Caenorhabditis elegans: one gene and its partners. The protein of the gene in region 3 interacts with the protein of the main gene of each other region in a pairwise test. Each region holds a gene or a part of one and is shown on either strand. Other genes may lie near its edges.

Region 1 (4,756 bases), about 11 Mb from region 3:
TCCAATGCAGGCCTATTCAAATTATCTCCAGAATCTTCCAAACCGATAACTGCTGGAGCTTCCATTTCAGAATTCTCATTTGCTTCAATGGAAGCTGCTTGCTGTCCTTGTTCCAGACCGATGAAGTGTTCTCCTGAAGATTCAAGTCCGATTGCAGTTGTATTTTCAACATCCCCAGTAACTTCAGATTCTTTATTTTCAGAGAATTCTTTCTCCGGTGGATCTTCCTGTACAGAATCTTTCAAGTTCTCTCCAGAATCCTCCAAACCGATGACAGCTGCTGTTTCCAATACATAACTCTCACAATTGTCAATCTGACCTTCTTCATGTTCTAGATCCGTACCGATAAAGTTGTCTCCAGAAGATTCAAGGCCAATCGCCTCTGGAGATGCATTTTCCGCATCTTCCGGAATCACAGAACTGTCAATATCAGAAGATGTCAAATTTTTCTCATGAGCAGCGACAATCTCTGCAAGACCAGAATCCTCAAGCCCAATCGTTTCTCTTTGAACAATTTCCGTTACATCATCCTGTTTGATATCTGCGCTCTCACCAGTTTCATCAACATTTCCAGATGCATCGTGTTCTTTAAGTTCAGAAAATTCTTGATCTTCTGAAGATTTCAACTGTGATTGTTTCACTTCATCTCCAGAATCCTCCAACCCAATGACATCCAATTCTGAACTTTCAATCCCTTTGATGGGCTCTGGCTGCTGTTCTGGATCCGTACCAATAAAATTGTCTCCCGAACATTCAAGTCCGATTGGGGTTATATTTTCAGCAATTTCGGTCACTTCAGAAACTTTATTTTCAGAAAGTTCTTGGTTTGTTACAGTTTCCAATGCTGGTTCTTTCAAAATATCTCCAGATTCTTCCAACCCAATGACTTCTTGGGTTACTAATTCGGAGCTCTCAGAACCTTTAATTTGTTCTGTGCCCTTTTCTGGATCGGTACCAATGAAGTTGTCTCCAGACGATTCAAGTCTAATTGGGGTTGTAATTTCAGCAATTTCAGTCATTTCAGATTCTTTATTATTGAAGTTTTCTTGATCTGGTGCAGTTTCAAGTAAAGGATCTTTCAAAATATCTCGAGATTCTTCCAACCCAATGACTGCTGGGGCTTTAAAACTTGAAGTTTCCTCAACCGCTTCTTTTTGAGATTGTTCAGCTCCTGCATTTTGCTCGATGCCTGCGTTCTCTCCAGATTCTACAAGATCGATTGCTTCCGGATTCTTAGATTCTCCAACTTCTTCGTTCAAATTTTCTGCGGTATTTTCAGAAACTTCAGTCACTTCAGGCTCTTTAATTTTCGAGAATTCTTGATTTGATGCTGTTTCCAGTGCATGCTTATTTATAATATCTTCAGAATCTTCCAATCCGAAGACTGCTGGGGCTTCGAAAGTCGAAGTTTCCACAACCCCATCAGCAGAGCTTTGAGGTTCCAAATCACTTTTAGAAGTAGAATCATACTCTTGATTATCTTGAGTAGGTCCAATTTCTGCAACATATTCTTGTGTTTCTTGGATTATTGGTATAACACCACCTTCATCCTCAAGACCAATGAAGACATGCTGAACATCCGTATTAATTGTATCTTTTTCGGATTCCAAGTCCGCAGAATAATTTCGAATTATTTGCAATTTTTCGGCTGCATCTTTGAGAACATCAGATACAGAGGAATCCTCAATTTCATAATTGTCTCCTGTTGGAGTTGGCGTCTTAGAGTCCACAGATTTTACAAACGAATTTTGGAAAGTTTCTTCCTCAGGATCATCATCCAAATCATCCAAAGTGTCATTGGAAGTCAACTTAACTCTTTCGATAAAGTCTCTTGCACCTTCTCCAGCATTCGCTTCTAGGACTGTAGTGAATGACTCAGTTTCAGTCTGTTCATCTTTTTCAACTGGTTTAAATGTAAATTCAGTAAGTTCAGCAACATCTGTAACTTCTTCCACAACGTTATCTAGTTCTTCAGATGGTGGAATGTCCTCAAAAGTAATGGTTTCCTGAGAATCAATACTCACATCTTCCATCATTGGAATTGTATAAACCAATTCAAATCGACGATCAGTTGGCTCACGGAACAAAAGATCCACTTCGACTTCCTCATCCTCAAATTCCAATTCATCCAGGTTGATTTCGGCACTTTTTGAAATGGTGTAAGCTAATTCCATTTCTGAATTCTTTGGCTGACGGAACAGTAAATCAGTTTGCACATTTTCTTCTTCTTCTTCAAAAACTTCATCATCAAGAGGTTCATTGAGAATATCGTCAGGAAGTTGTTCAACTTCCGAATGAGAACAAGAGGACCCACCGGACTCTGACTCAGGAGTTTGAAGGGGTTGAAGAGCAAGTGGCTGGAGGGATTTTGGCTCATGCTCAGATGTTGGCTCGTTTGTGGAATTTGTCTCCTCTGAAATGACAAAAAGATTTTCCAAGGAAATTTAAGAATATTATTTTTTCTAAGTGAAAGACCTTGACAAAGCATTAATCTCGACCTTTTAAATTTTGATTTTTAATTATTTCAGTGTTTTTTTGCTTTATTTTTGAGACCTATAAATGCTCCAAAAGCTCTTTTCCGATATTTTAATATGGGTTTTCGAATTTGATTTTCAGATTTTTTTCCGAAATATATCGGAATCCAAACAATTTCCACATAATTTTGTCGACTTTTTTACCTTTTTATCTTTTTAAATTTTTTTTTATCTTTTTTAATGCCTAAAAACTATTTTTTGAATCATTTTTGCGGGATGTCTAGAAATAAACTGAAAAAATCAAAAACAAAAATTTCAGAGGTAGATATCGGATATGTGCCTACTTGGATACGTGGAACATTTATTAAAGTTTTTTTTCAGAAATTTTAAGTTAAAAAAGTTATATAATGCTTTTTCTTATGAACTTCAAAATTTTCAAAATTCACAAAAAAAACTAGCAAGAGATACAATCTATTAGAAATCAAGCTTTTTCAATTTTTTTTTTTCAAACTGCATTTTTACAAACTAAATTTAAAAAAAATATGAAAAAACACTCACCTTTCGGGTCAATCCAAATTGTCTTAACCAACTCAAAATTTGTGATCTCCGGTGGTTTTCGAAAGAAAAGTTCCACATCGACATTTTCAGCGTTCATTTCGTTTTCAGCATCCATGAAGTGGTGTTTTTCGTGACAAAATTTTTTGGAGCTCACAAAAATGTGCTGACACGAGATGAAGGGACCCCGAGGAGTTCACCATGTGATTGTATACCCTGCGTCTCCGCACAGGTACATGATATTTCTGCGGGGACAGCTGCCGTCTCACCGCAGGTGATGAGCATTTTTGCTTTCTCTCGGGGTTTTCGATCATCTCGCTCTTTTGTGCTATTTTGTTTTTCTTTTTGTTGTTGCCCTCTGTCTTCTTCTCTTTCATCTCATTCATCTCTTTTTCAGCTCAAACAGAGATCCAAGTCATACGTTTCAAATGACAATAGGGGAAAGATGGGGGTGTCAGTGATAAGCTCAAAATCATGGTGGCTTCAAAATTATTTAAAGGAAAGCACTTAAAAATCTCATGAAATGCCTGCCCATGAAAGAGAAACAGTTTTTTTTTCTGTTCTCGAAGGTTTCGAAATTAGTTTTTTCAGCTTCCTTTTATTGACCGATAAATCTTGCATGGCGGTCTGTTCACCTGTTTAAATATTATGTTGAAATCAAAACAGAGCGACCGTGTTTTGGAAAACACGCAGAGAAGCACGAATGTGAATAAGAAAAAGTCGATCTCAAATTTCTACGTCATTTGTTCAAACGCATATTGACTTATTTAACAGCCACTTAATTTTTTTCGAATTCACTGCTGATTTTATAGTGCTTATTGGCAAAGGAAATATTTTTTGAAAAAAAGTTCCAATAACTGACTTATTTTTGAATTTTTTCTGACATTCAAATTTAAATTCAATTAAAATTCTGAAACTGCCAAAACAACAATATATTTTTAACATTACAAATTTATTAAATTTTTTTTCAAATTCACATAATCCAAAACAATCGTTTATGTTGAAACCCGTTATAAAAAACCATTTTCTGGTTGATTTAAAAAATGACTTTCAAATTTATGAGCCGCGAAAATTTAAAATTGGCACATCTTGATTGTAAATAAATCTTGCAATTTTTAGTGGTAATTGCACTATAGAAGATATTTTGAACAATTCTCCTACTGACGTTTCTCTTTTTAAAAAAATGAGCCAAGATATAAGCTCACAAAAAAAGAAGCAGTACTAGTAGTAACAATATTGAAAATTTAGAAAGTCTGACATCTGAAAAAGCGAAAATAAATATAGCAATATGCAATTTGTCTCGTTTTTCCATGTTATCAATTGATATCAACTCATATGTTCATGGAAAGAGTGTGGTGAGTGACGTAAGCAAACAAACAAAATTGTTTTTATTTCCATAACCTCTATTTTGAAAACTTCCAACTGTTTCCATTCCCCCAGTTACAGTCAATTGTCAATCTATAACATACAAAAATGCCAGTTTATATTAGATACGCAGACAGCTAGAACATTTAAAGCACGTGCTGTGTCGGCTGTTCAGATGTAAGAGGGGCATCTGTTGTTAATCGTAAATCACATTGACAGGTAGGTCAGAGAGTTTTGATGACGTGGATTGGGGGAGAGGGTTGGGTTTCAGAGTTTTTTGTCAGAAAAAAGTTTTGGAAAAGAAGAAAGAAGTTGATCGAGTAACTTGAGAAAGTTGTGAAATGAAATTTTGAGAAAAAAAA
Region 2 (5,895 bases), on a different chromosome or scaffold from region 3:
ACTGTATTGAAAGAGTTTTAGGTGAGTATAAGTCATTATCTATACATTTTGACTCGTGGAAGAGTTTTTAGAGAATTTTAGACCACAAGAACAGTTATAGTCAATCTTTAAAATAAAAACTCGGACAAAAAATTTTTCAAACTTTTTTTTTTTGATGAATTCTCTTAAGTTCTGCGGTAAAAAATCCTAAAAAGGGTAAATTTAACACTCTAACACTACTCCTAAGCCTAAGCCTAAGCCTATGCCTAGCACAAGCCTAAGCCTAAGCCTCAGCCTAAACCTAAGCAAAAGCCTAAACCTAAGCCTAAACCTAAGCAAAAGCCTAAGTCTAGGCCTAAGCCTAAGCCTAAACCTAAGCCTAAGCCTAAGCCTAAGCCTAAGCCTAATACTAAGCCTAATCCTAAGTTTTTCCAGACCCCCTTATTCAATTTCAGCCGCCCCATTCTGAAGGGACACCTGTGTATAATAAGGGGAATGATCCGAATAAGGACGATCAGATATGAAAAGTAAGAAAATAAGGAAGGATCACCGACAGATATTCACACTTGAATGCACACCACCTTTCCCAAATTGAAACCCTCGCCCGAAGAAGGGACATGAGAATTGGAGAAACAGAGACATATTACATATTCTTGACACTGTGCCGCGCCGCCGTCAGGCAGTAAATCATGATAACTAATTGACAGAATGGAGAGACGGGTGTGTATGTATACAGGTTGACTAGTTGCCATGACATGTATATCTGGGTAAGAGCGAGTAGGCATGCCTGCCTTCATGGAATACCTTCAATGCCTACCTTGAGCCTATCAAGGCATGGCTTGTGCCTATTATTACACGTGGCGCCAGAGTTTGATCTACGTAGATCTACGAGACTTCTCAACTGATTTCGTATGGTTAAGAATGTGCTGAAGTCACGTTTTTTCGGGAAAAAATTCCCGCATTTTTTGTAGATCAAACCGCAATGGAACAGGCTGGCACCACGTGCAATTACTTTTCTTGTACCAATCAATGTGCCCTAAGACTATCAAAGCCTATCCCCACCTACCATGGTCTACCTTCAAGGCCTGCCTTGTACCTATCAAGGCATTCATTTTGCCTACACGCATGCCTACTCTAAAAACCAACAACATTTGAACTTGGAAAATAAAAAAATTCACCTGCCTTCAAAACGACCTCCGCCTACCGCGTGCCTATATAATTGCAAAATTTATTCTCCAATGTGTACTCCCATTGTACACCAAAATCTTAATGTACAAAAATACAAAAACCTGAGGGGCCTAGAATTTTAAAATTTGATATTCGAAATTCTAGGCCTTATTAAATATGAAAATAAAATGTGTGAACTCCTCTCGGACAAGTGAATATCTTCATTTTGAGGGTTCTCTTTAATTTTTCAATTTTAAGCTGTTTTCAGATATGTTTCACAAAATCTTGGTAGTCTAGAAAACCCCAATGGCCTAGAAATTGGAAAATCTAAGCCAAATCCTGGTCCTTGTAGTCGAGGAAATCCTTGTTTTAGGCTTTAGACCACAGACGTTCTAGGATTTTCGAAATGTATTTAAATACATTTATGACGTCATTTCTATACACTTTTCGATTTTCCGGCACGATGTTTAACGGAAAACTGAAATTCGAAATTCTAGGCCACCGATACAAGCAGGGGATCCTCAATGTTTCTCAATCTCTATTTATTCACACCTCTCTCCTCTCTTCCCCACTGCGCCAAACGTCGGCGCGCGACGAAGAAAGTGGGCGTGCCGGCCCAATCACCGCCAAAAGCACAAAAGTGGGCGGGCACTGATGATCTACGAGGGGAACAACACTGAAGAATCGCATCCCCCACTACGGTGTGACACATGGCATCCTTCCCGTTTTTAATGACACCTGAAACTATGAACAAATTGGTGACGCCGAATTCTGCAAGGTTGGTTCCTTTTTTTTTTGGTTCGTGTGAAGCCTTGGGGGGCTTTTAAAGGGGGTTCTGTAGTGTTAGTAAAGTACAATTTAGTATAAGCAAAAATCAAATAAAAAAGTTTTAAAAAAAAGTTTTTTGTTTCAAAAATTTTTTGTTTCAAAACTTGTTTCAAAAGTTTTTCCATTTTTTAAACATTTTTTTTTCACTTAAAATATTTTTTAAATAGGTTCGTACTCCACTCGGACAACTTATTAAAAAAAAAGAATTTTCTTACTGCCATAAATAATAATGAAAATTCAAGATTTTTTATACAAAATTCTAAACAAAATTTTGCACTACTTGTCCGAGAGAAGTACACCGGGGCCATTTCTACCTGAAATTTTAGATTTCTAAATTGTTTTTTTTTTTGAAAATTCACGGTGTTCTGGCGTTTCTCATTGAATTTTTCGTGCTCCATTGACAATCGCCCGCCTGACAACGCGTGGGAAAGTCGTGTACTCCACACGGACAGATGCACTTAGTTTTACAACTAAACTCAAGCCGCGACGCGACACGCAACGCGCCGTAAATCTACCCCAGATATGGCCGAGCCAAAATGACCTGGTTCTGCAAACTCTTCCATTTTGAAAATCAAAATCCTCCTAGAAAATTTCATGGTGTCCTAGGAATATTTTTAAAAAATATGTGAAGGGCTTTTCATGGAAGAGTTTTCCTCTGAAGACATTCTAGGCCACGGGGGTGAAAACAAAATTTTTCCATGTGTAATCCTCTCGGAACATCCCAATTTTCCAGTATCTCCTCGTCATCCTCCTCTCCGTCCACATCAACCTCATTCTCAATTGACACATTGCTCTCGAACCCGTTGGCCGGAATTCCGCAGCTTCACAATTTTCAAGATCCATTTGGAGCAGTGGGAGCCGCAGCGGCGGCTTCTGCCCTGCCATGGCAGTTTCATCCGGCTAATTATCCGTTTTTCTGTAAGTTTTTGTGTGGCCCACGTGGAGCGCATTTTTCGTTTTGTCGGTAATTTCAAAAAATCGCAAATTCGAATTTGGATAAGAACTTTTAAAAAAATCAATATCGCCCACGTCGATACACCGGTAGTTTATCAAAAGAGCGCACATGCTTCAATAACAATCTCCATTAGAACTAAACCACGTGGTGCCAGGCTGTCCCATCACGGTTTGATCTACAAAAAATGCGGGAATTTTTTGCCCAAAAATCGTGACGTCATGCTAAATCAGTTGAGAACTCTGCGTCTCTTCTCACGCATTTTTTGTAGATCAACGAAGATCAAGCCGAAATGAGACACTCTGACACCACGTGATAAACTAGAAGGAAGCGATGCTGAAAATGCGCTCTACTGTTCAAAAACTAAAATTTTTCAGCAATGCTCTGCGGACCACTAATGCCTCCATTCATGGCTCCATATCACCATCAACACTACGCCTCCCGACGAAAACGCCGGCATCGTACCATTTTCAGCGAGGAGCAGTTGAACATTTTGGAGACCACATTTTCAACGACACACTACCCGGACGCTACGACGAGAGAAGAGCTCGCGGTTCAGTGCTCATTGAAGGAAGAAAGAGTTGAGGTGAGTAAATGGAAGAGGAGTGACGTCACACCTAGGCCACCGATTTTGTAAGACTGGCTGGCCTAAATTAAATTCCTGGGGACTAGAAAATTCAATGGCCTAACAAAAGCGCGGAGCAATCCTTGGCCGTGTAGTTCTCTTGGGGCGGCTTTTCAGTAATTTTAAGATTATTTGAAACAGTTTTGAAAAGACCCGCAAAATCTAAATTCCGCGGATTTCAACCACCCGAGTTTTTTTCCAGAATTTTTTAAGCTTTTTGGTGGTTTTGAACGACATTTTGATGCAAATTAGACAAAAAAACTCGGGTAGTTGAAATCCGCGGAATCACATTTTCCCGGAAAATTTGTTTCCGCGGATTTCAACTACTCGAGTTTTTTTCTAAATTTTTGACAGTTTTTTGGTGGTTTTGAACAACATTTTAAAGATTTTTTAAAAATCTTATGCGAATTAGACTTAAAAACTTGGATAGTTGAAATCCACGGGACCGAAACCCCATAGAAATTGAATTTCGTGGATTTCAACTACCCGAGTTTTTTTCCGGAATTTTTAAAGCTTTTTGGTGGTTTTTAACCACATTTTGAAGGTCTTTTAAAAATCTTATGCGAAATAGACAAAAAACTCGGGTAGTTGAAATCCACGAAAGTGGGTTTTCCCGGATTTCAACTACCCGGGTTTTTACAGATTTCAAAGTTATTTTTTCGCAAAAAAAAAAACAATACCCGAACATTCCGGGTTAATGAGTCCATTAAACCCTATAATACCATATAGCTGTGTTTCTGAGGAAAACCGTCTGTGGGGTAATCTCTAATTACAACCTCTCACCTGCCTAAATCGTGTCGGCCCTTTTCAATTATTTCATCACCACCAACAGCTCTTCTTCTTCCGTTTATCTTCTTCCACCTGCCTCACTCACTTAACCCGGCAAATCTCAACCTGTAGAGGATGAGGGGGGCGCTGGAAGAGGAGTGACGTCGTCATAGTTCGGCCGCCGGCGCTGGCTTGATCTACGTAGATCTACAAGAAATGTGGCAGAGTTTTTGACTGATTTTGTATGGTTAAGAACGTGCTGACGTCACATAATTTTGGGTAAAAAATTCCCACATTTTTTGTAGATCAAATTGTAATGGGGCAGCCTAGCACCACGTGCCTTATCAATTGAATAATCGATTTTTAAAATAATATTCTTTAAATAAATTTTCTCTTCCAGGTCTGGTTCAAAAATCGTCGGGCAAAAGAGCGCAAGCAGAAGAAGGACGACAGTCGGACTTCTAAGGTAAGCTAGTACACTTTTTGAAAATTAATTTTCAAATGCGCTCTACTGTACTCTCACGGTCTCCCTCCATCACCGCCAAGAACGGTAAAATTGGCTCAGTGGTAGGCGCGGTTTTTTGTGTCAACAGTTTTTGGTTCAATACCCAATAGTGATTTTTTTTTACCTAAATTTCTCTACATTTTCAGCACAGCGGAGACGATTCCGAATGTGACGAGAGCGACGAGGACACCCGAAAAGTGAAACGGATAAAACGCGAAAATTCCAGCGGAAAAGAGACGAGCTCGCCCGAATCAAAAGCCTCACTGAAGACATCGCACAGCGAGAATTTGGTGTTGGAGCCTTGTTAGCATATAATTTGAATCTCTATTCCCCACCTAGCTGGAAATCCAGGCCACCCCCTCTTTATATTCTAGTCCCCCCCATCCCCTCTCATTTTGTCAAGTCAATAAATGTATGTGGCGAATTAATCCGATTCTAATCACGTTATCATTTTGTTGTGGTGGTTGGTTACTGTAGATAATCCCCCGTAAAATTCGCACCGCCCGACCGGTCTCTGGCGGATTACTGTAGCCGTTTGGGGGGAGAGGGGGGTTTGTAAGGAAAATCACATTGCTAAATTAATCGAATTAGCATTTTTATCAGCAACGATTTATGCGTGTGTGTGGAAGGTATTACTGTTTTAAAGAGGAAGTACGGTATTAAGATACCTACCCTGAAGGTAATCATGTGGAAATTTGATGATGTTCTCAACAGAGCGCGTTTGCACACCGCGGTGTGACACCTAGCTGTCTCCAGGCTCCCCTACGCCTCTCGCACCTGCCGCCGACCATTGGTGCGGCTCATGGCGCTGATTTAAGGCACCAGTCCCTTGTTCGGGGGTTCCACTCTCTTCAGTTTACTTTTGCATCGATGCACCAATCTGCAAATCCGGTCAAAATCCGCCGCACTAATCCCACCCGCTGCCGAAGGTCCCAAATCTTTTGCAAATTCTCGTGGGAAACGTTGCGAAGTCATTTTAAGAGGCTAATCCAATGTTTTCCAAAGAAATTAGAATTATTTCTGAATTATGAATGACAGAGAGGAAAGCAGATTCCAATTTTCGCTGTTAGA
Region 3 (5,843 bases):
CCTCTTCTGTAGACAAAAACTCAATTTTTCCTAAACTACAGTAACCCTACCGTATACCTACAGTACTCCTACAGTACCACTACAGTACCTTGACATTATCCATCACCAACTTCCAACCCAATACCTCTTCCAACTACAGACTACAGAGTTCAAAGACCAAAGATCAAAGATCAAACTACATAGGGACAGAAGGACACGCGCTTTATATATAGTAAATGATTTGTATGTTTTTTCTTTGGAAAAGTGTCTGAAAATTTACAAACATGTATTAAATTTAGAACAAAAAATCCAGAAAAATCATGATTTTAGCCAGAAAACGCGAAAATATAAAAAATGACGTCACTCATTTGCGTGGGAATTTAAATTCAGTTTGGCCACATTTTGATATAGGCAAAATTCAAAAAAAATGTTAAAAACTTTTTAACAGTTTATTCGGTCATGACGGTCGTTTTTCTGCCATTTAAAGTGAATTTCAATCGAACACAAGTGTCTTGACTGACAATATTCATGAAATAATCTTCTAATATACCGTAAATGTTTTCAACAAAAAAATCATCAATTAAAATAATATTTATTAGGTATGTACATTCCGAAAGCTCGACAAGAGGAACAGGCAGTATTCAAAAAACAACACTCTAATAAGATTACAAAAACATTGTTTTTAGTTATTAAATTTGTGATATTAAAATTATTTGCAAAAACTTTTCTTTTAAAAAAACTGAGAAAGAATGCCGGGAACTTGAGATCAATGGGATGATGATGGTGAGAAAGAAGAGGTAAAAGCTCATGAGAAAAAACTAATTTTAACGACTACAAGTATTGTGGAAAGTTGGTCCTGAAGAGGTAGATGTGCGGGGATCACAAATATTAAATATGCATTTCTTGAGCACTACAGCTTGTCAGGAATGCCTCCGTAAAGATGGTTGTGTCGGAGACTTGTGTTGTAGAATTGTGAGGATGACATGTCAGATTTAGCGTAAAGTATGTCTGCCGGTTGGTATTTGGGTAAAGATCGGGAGGAACCTAAAATTATTAAATTAATAAAACTTGTTTAAACTCAAGCTAGATTCAACTTACCCAAACAGCAAATAGCATTTTTCCACGACGATAGAGTTTTGGTGCTGCACACCCAAAATCCGGACGTCCATCCCAAAATGCACATACAGCAAGTTTTGATAAGGGAGATGATCAGTGAGGAGTCGCCTGAAAATTTAAAATTTATGAAGAATAATAGGGGGGGGGGGGGGGGTTCAAATTTCAGAAAAAAAATTTGGCGAGAAATTTAAAATTTTTGAAAAAAAATTATTGACACTAATTTAACATTTTTTGAGGAAAAAAATTTGGCGGAAATTCAAATTTTCTGAGAAACTTTTTGACAGTAAATTTAAATTTTTTTCTGAGAAAAATTTTAGCTGGAAGTTCGAATTTTTGAAAAGGAAATGTGGAAAGAAATTCACAATTTTTGAGGCAAAATTTTGCGGAAAAATTAAACTTTTTGAATAATTTTTATCATGAAATTCTAAATTTCAGAGAATATTTTTGGCGGTAAATTCAATTTTTTCGAAATAAAATATTGGCGGTAAAATCAAATTTTTAAAAAAATGTTTGCGGAAAATTTGAATTTTTGAGAAAAAATGTTTGGTGGAATTAAACAAATTTTTGGGAAAATTTTTAGAAAACTCGTTTTTTAATTTTCTAAAAACAATTTTAGCGAGCAACTGAAATTTTTTAATGTGAAAAAAATGTTTACTGGGAAATTTAGATCAAAAATTGTTATAGTTTAAAAAAAAACTCACCGATAGTTTGCTTTGGCGAGCATGAGCACAACTGCGATTGCTCCCATAATGATCGATGATTCTGCTCGTAGAATAGAACACAGATAATCAATAACGATGGAATTGTGTAGAGCAATGAGAAAATCCCGATTTTGCTCATCAACTGCGTGATTTTATGGGCACTCTCCAGTGAAGGATGTTGCTTTTGTACTTCGTTTCTGATACTCCACAAATTGCAGAATCCGATTACCAAGAACAAAACTCCAACGATGAAATATACGAGCAATGGGAAAAGCACAAAGATTCGTTGGAATTGTAGATCAGTATTTCCCACGTAGCAGATTCCAGTTATCGGATCACCATCGATCGCATTAAAAACTATTACCAATACAGTTTGAATAGCGGGAAGGCACCATCCGACCACGTGGAAATGGAATGAGAACGAGGAAATCGCTTCGGGGGACCACTTTGAAGCGGCCGACAGCACCCAGGTTAGCGAAAGGATCACCCACCAAACCGAGGCAGCCATTCCGAAGAAATAGGTGAGCAGGAAAACGACGAAGCACAAGGATCCAGAGTTATCATCAGCCCCCTTAATCCTCATCGAGTCGCATGCGATCTCCTCGTGGCCCACGAAATATCGAATCATGAATCCGACGGCAACCATGAGCTGACAGAATGCCAACATGAAGATCGGACGTTCGGGGTATTGGAATCGATCGGTCTCGATAAGGAATGTGAGGAATGTGAAGGAGGCTAGCACGCAGCATGTGATGCTCCAGAACGCCATCCAGTTGCTCACCAGGCTATGACTCTCGGCCAACGCTGGGGAATGGCATGAGTAGGCGCAATTTGTTACATTTCCAACTTTGGACTTTTCAGATGCCACAAACTGGAACGGTTGGTTACAAGTGCACTGACACTCGCTGGGACCGGCTATTACTTCATTGTCGATCTTGGAAATTCCGACTTCTGGGCCATCTGGACTATAGTTATGATTTTGATTTTGATTCTGGTTCTGATTCTTATGATGATGCCCCTTGTGCTGCTTCTTTGGTGTATCTGGTGGAGCTGCACAGATGTTCCCAGTCGACATCTGATCCGACATCTTTGGCAGCGCCTCGCAAGACAGTGTCTCGGGCCATCTGAATCCGTACTTGGCCATTATTGGACTGCACTTGCTGCGTGCCTCCACACAAAGTTCCATGCACGGGAGAATTGGTTTGTCGTAGTTTTCCTGGCAGATCGGGGTGTACATTGTGCAGAGGAAGAATTTGAGATGTTGGAAACAACCGACCTGGAAATATAAATTTTTTTTTGATTTTTGGAAGAAGGTAAGTTTTTCAAATTTACTTTTTTCTTGATTTTTGCGAAAAAAATTGTGAATTTGTCGTAATTTAGAGCCTAATTCAATTTTGCGTTTTTGCAAATTTTGAGCGCGAAATTTAAATTTGGATTTTATTTAATTTAGCTCAAAATTTAAATCTAATTTTTTTTCAACAACTTTGGCACTAAATTAAGGTTCACATTTTTTTAGTATATAACAAATTTAAATTTATAATCTTGTTTAAATTTTAGCGCCAAATTAAAATTTTAATTTTTAAATTTTTGGCGGAAATTTCAAATTCAGATTTTTTTAAATTTTTGGTGTGATATAAAAATTTCAATTTTATTTAAAATTTAGGGTTGAGTTTTTTCAAAAATTTGGCGCAAAACTCATTCTGAAAAATTTAAATTTTCAGCGCGAAATTCATATTCGGATTTTTTTTTCGAAAATTTTAGCGCCAAGTTAATTTTTTTTTCAATTTAGCGCAAATTCTAAATTTGGTGTCTTTCGAATTTTTAGCGCGAAATTCAAAATTTCTCAATTTGTGGTGCAATATTCAATTTTTGTTTTTTTCATTATTGCAAAAAATATTTCCTCATAGAAAATTGTTTAAAAAACTCACCTCCACCAGCGGATAAAATTGATGAACTTCCAATCCGGCTTCTTCCTGTTTTTCATGTCCATAACTATTCGGGAACGATGTCATATTGTAGCCAATACCTTTGCATAGAGGAATTGTGATTTGCTCACATTTTTGACGTTTTCCAAAAAGAGCCCCACAGGAGCCAAGCAATAGGAACAGCACGCTGATCCGGAGTAGCATATCTAGAAATAAAATGTTAATTTTGAAGTTAAAGATATTAGAAAAGGTATAAAGAAAAAGGAAAGAACAAAAAGAAAAACAAAAAAAAAGATAAATGAAATTTGAGATTTAAGTAGCTGAAGGTGGAGGAGAATAAGAAGACAGGAAAAGTACAAAGGATGCGCTTCCTCCTGAGGAGGGAGGATCGGTGTCAAGTTACGGGAGTTCTTAGAGAAAATGATCCGTTAAAACACAAAAAAATCAATATCCACGTAGCAAAACTGTGATCGCTTATCACTATTTACCGAGTACTACTACTATCATGACACAATACACACAAGAGCTTTGACCTAACATCCAGTGATCAGCTATCGGATCGGTATCAAAAATATAAGAGAGAGAGAGATACCCAAAGAGCACTTTTTCATCATACAGAGCATCAAAAGCATCAAAAAACCAGTAAGGGGAAACGATTTTTTTGCGGGAAATAGTGGAGGATATGTGGAGAGAGTGTTTGCAGGCACTCGAAAAATATATCCAACCAAGATATATCGGAAAGGTCTTTATCAAATTAGATATGTTTTTAGCTAAATTCTCTATATTTAGATCTGGGATGAAATCTGAAAAAAGAATATACAAATTTATGAAAATGAGAAATAAATAAGGCTCAGGATACGAGAATTTTGTTACGTGCTGGGGTATGTAACCTAGTTGTGCAAGCATAGGGGTCTCAAACGGAACACGAATGGAATTCAAGGGGTGTCAGGTTGCATAAGAAGAGCCTAGAAAGAGGAGATATGTTTTGACTCTACCACCTCCAACCAACAACTACTGAAGTTATGTACATATATATGAATGAGCTGGGGGAGATGGAAAGGGGGAGGAGAGAAGAGTGTGCAAATAGGGGAGGGCAAAGTGGTGGCTGGCAAGGAGTTGGAAAATTTTGGAAGGTGCTAAAAGGAGGAGGTGACCCCCACTGTGAGCAACAACAGGTGGAATGGAGGATGGGTTAGAGATGTGGATAGGGCTGAAATTATTATAGGTGGAGTAGCGCCAGTAGGGAAAGTGTTAAAACTACTGACTTGGTGCCAAAATAGCCGAATATTAAGATAAAACGTTTCAAAAACTTTTTGAAAATTTTTTATTTACTGGCAAAAAATGACAATTACTCAATAGGCAAAAACTCATAATTTTGGAAATCGATCAAAATAAATTTTTTGCCCTACATTTTCATACTTTAATTTTGTTTTATTTGTTTGTATTAAAACATTGTAGGGGTCGGAACATGCGACCGGAAATTATTTTTTTAAAAAAATTTTAAAGAGTATTGGCATGTGTTTTTAAAATGACCAAAAATTACAGTAAAAGCTTTTAAAAAATTTTTTTGGAATTTCTTAATGCACTGAAATAATTGGAACAAATTGCATATTTTTCTTCAATTTTTATATTTTAATTGTTTTTTTTATTAATTGTGGAAATTTCCCAAAAGGTACACATTTTTTAAAAATTTGGCAATTTACGAAAACTGACTGGAATCTTTCAAAAATCTATATTTTTTGTAGTGTTTTTACTGATGTTTGGTCATGTTAGACAACCTTCAAATAATTTTAATTTTAAAATCGCAAATCCTGAAAACTACTAGAAAAAAAGTTCCGACTCTACGAAAAGTTGATTAAAAATTAAAAATGTACTGATAAATTATACAAAAATTTAGAATTTTTCCGATACAAAAACAAGTTTTCGAAAGTATAATTTGTTTTTGAAATTAAAGAAAATTCTTTTTTTAAAACTATTTTTAAAAAAGTTAAAAATGTGAATAAATTCAGAAAAATATTCAAAAAATGGTACAAAATGTTGAAAACAAATATATCCAAACGTCACCGACCTTCTAAAAAAAAGGAGCAAAGTTCCAGGAAAACTAAAAAATTTAGAAACTTTG

Evidence for each region.
Region 1: the proteins of cfz-2 (region 3) and ret-1 interact in a two-hybrid assay, tested with the Caenorhabditis elegans proteins (one large-scale study listed by BioGRID).
Region 2: the proteins of cfz-2 (region 3) and ceh-45 interact in a two-hybrid assay, tested with the Caenorhabditis elegans proteins (one large-scale study listed by BioGRID).

What each region holds. Positions count from the first base shown.
Region 1 is NC_003283.11:14,844,184-14,848,939, forward strand, and holds the start of ret-1 (Reticulon-like protein), read right to left. Parts: upstream 3,130-4,756; coding exon 3,033-3,129; intron 2,414-3,032; coding exon 1-2,413.
Region 2 is NC_003279.8:1,126,503-1,132,397, forward strand, and holds ceh-45 (Homeobox domain-containing protein), read left to right. Parts: upstream 1-1,821; 5' UTR 1,822-1,856; coding exon 1,857-1,924; intron 1,925-2,707; coding exon 2,708-2,892; intron 2,893-3,303; coding exon 3,304-3,512; intron 3,513-4,719; coding exon 4,720-4,785; intron 4,786-4,970; coding exon 4,971-5,132; 3' UTR 5,133-5,263; downstream 5,264-5,895.
Region 3 is NC_003283.11:3,440,951-3,446,793, forward strand, and holds cfz-2 (Frizzled-2), read right to left. Parts: upstream 3,928-5,843; 5' UTR 3,926-3,927; coding exon 3,725-3,925; intron 3,073-3,724; coding exon 1,797-3,072; intron 1,204-1,796; coding exon 1,078-1,203; intron 1,024-1,077; coding exon 890-1,023; 3' UTR 554-889; downstream 1-553. UniProt on the Caenorhabditis elegans protein: Receptor for Wnt proteins.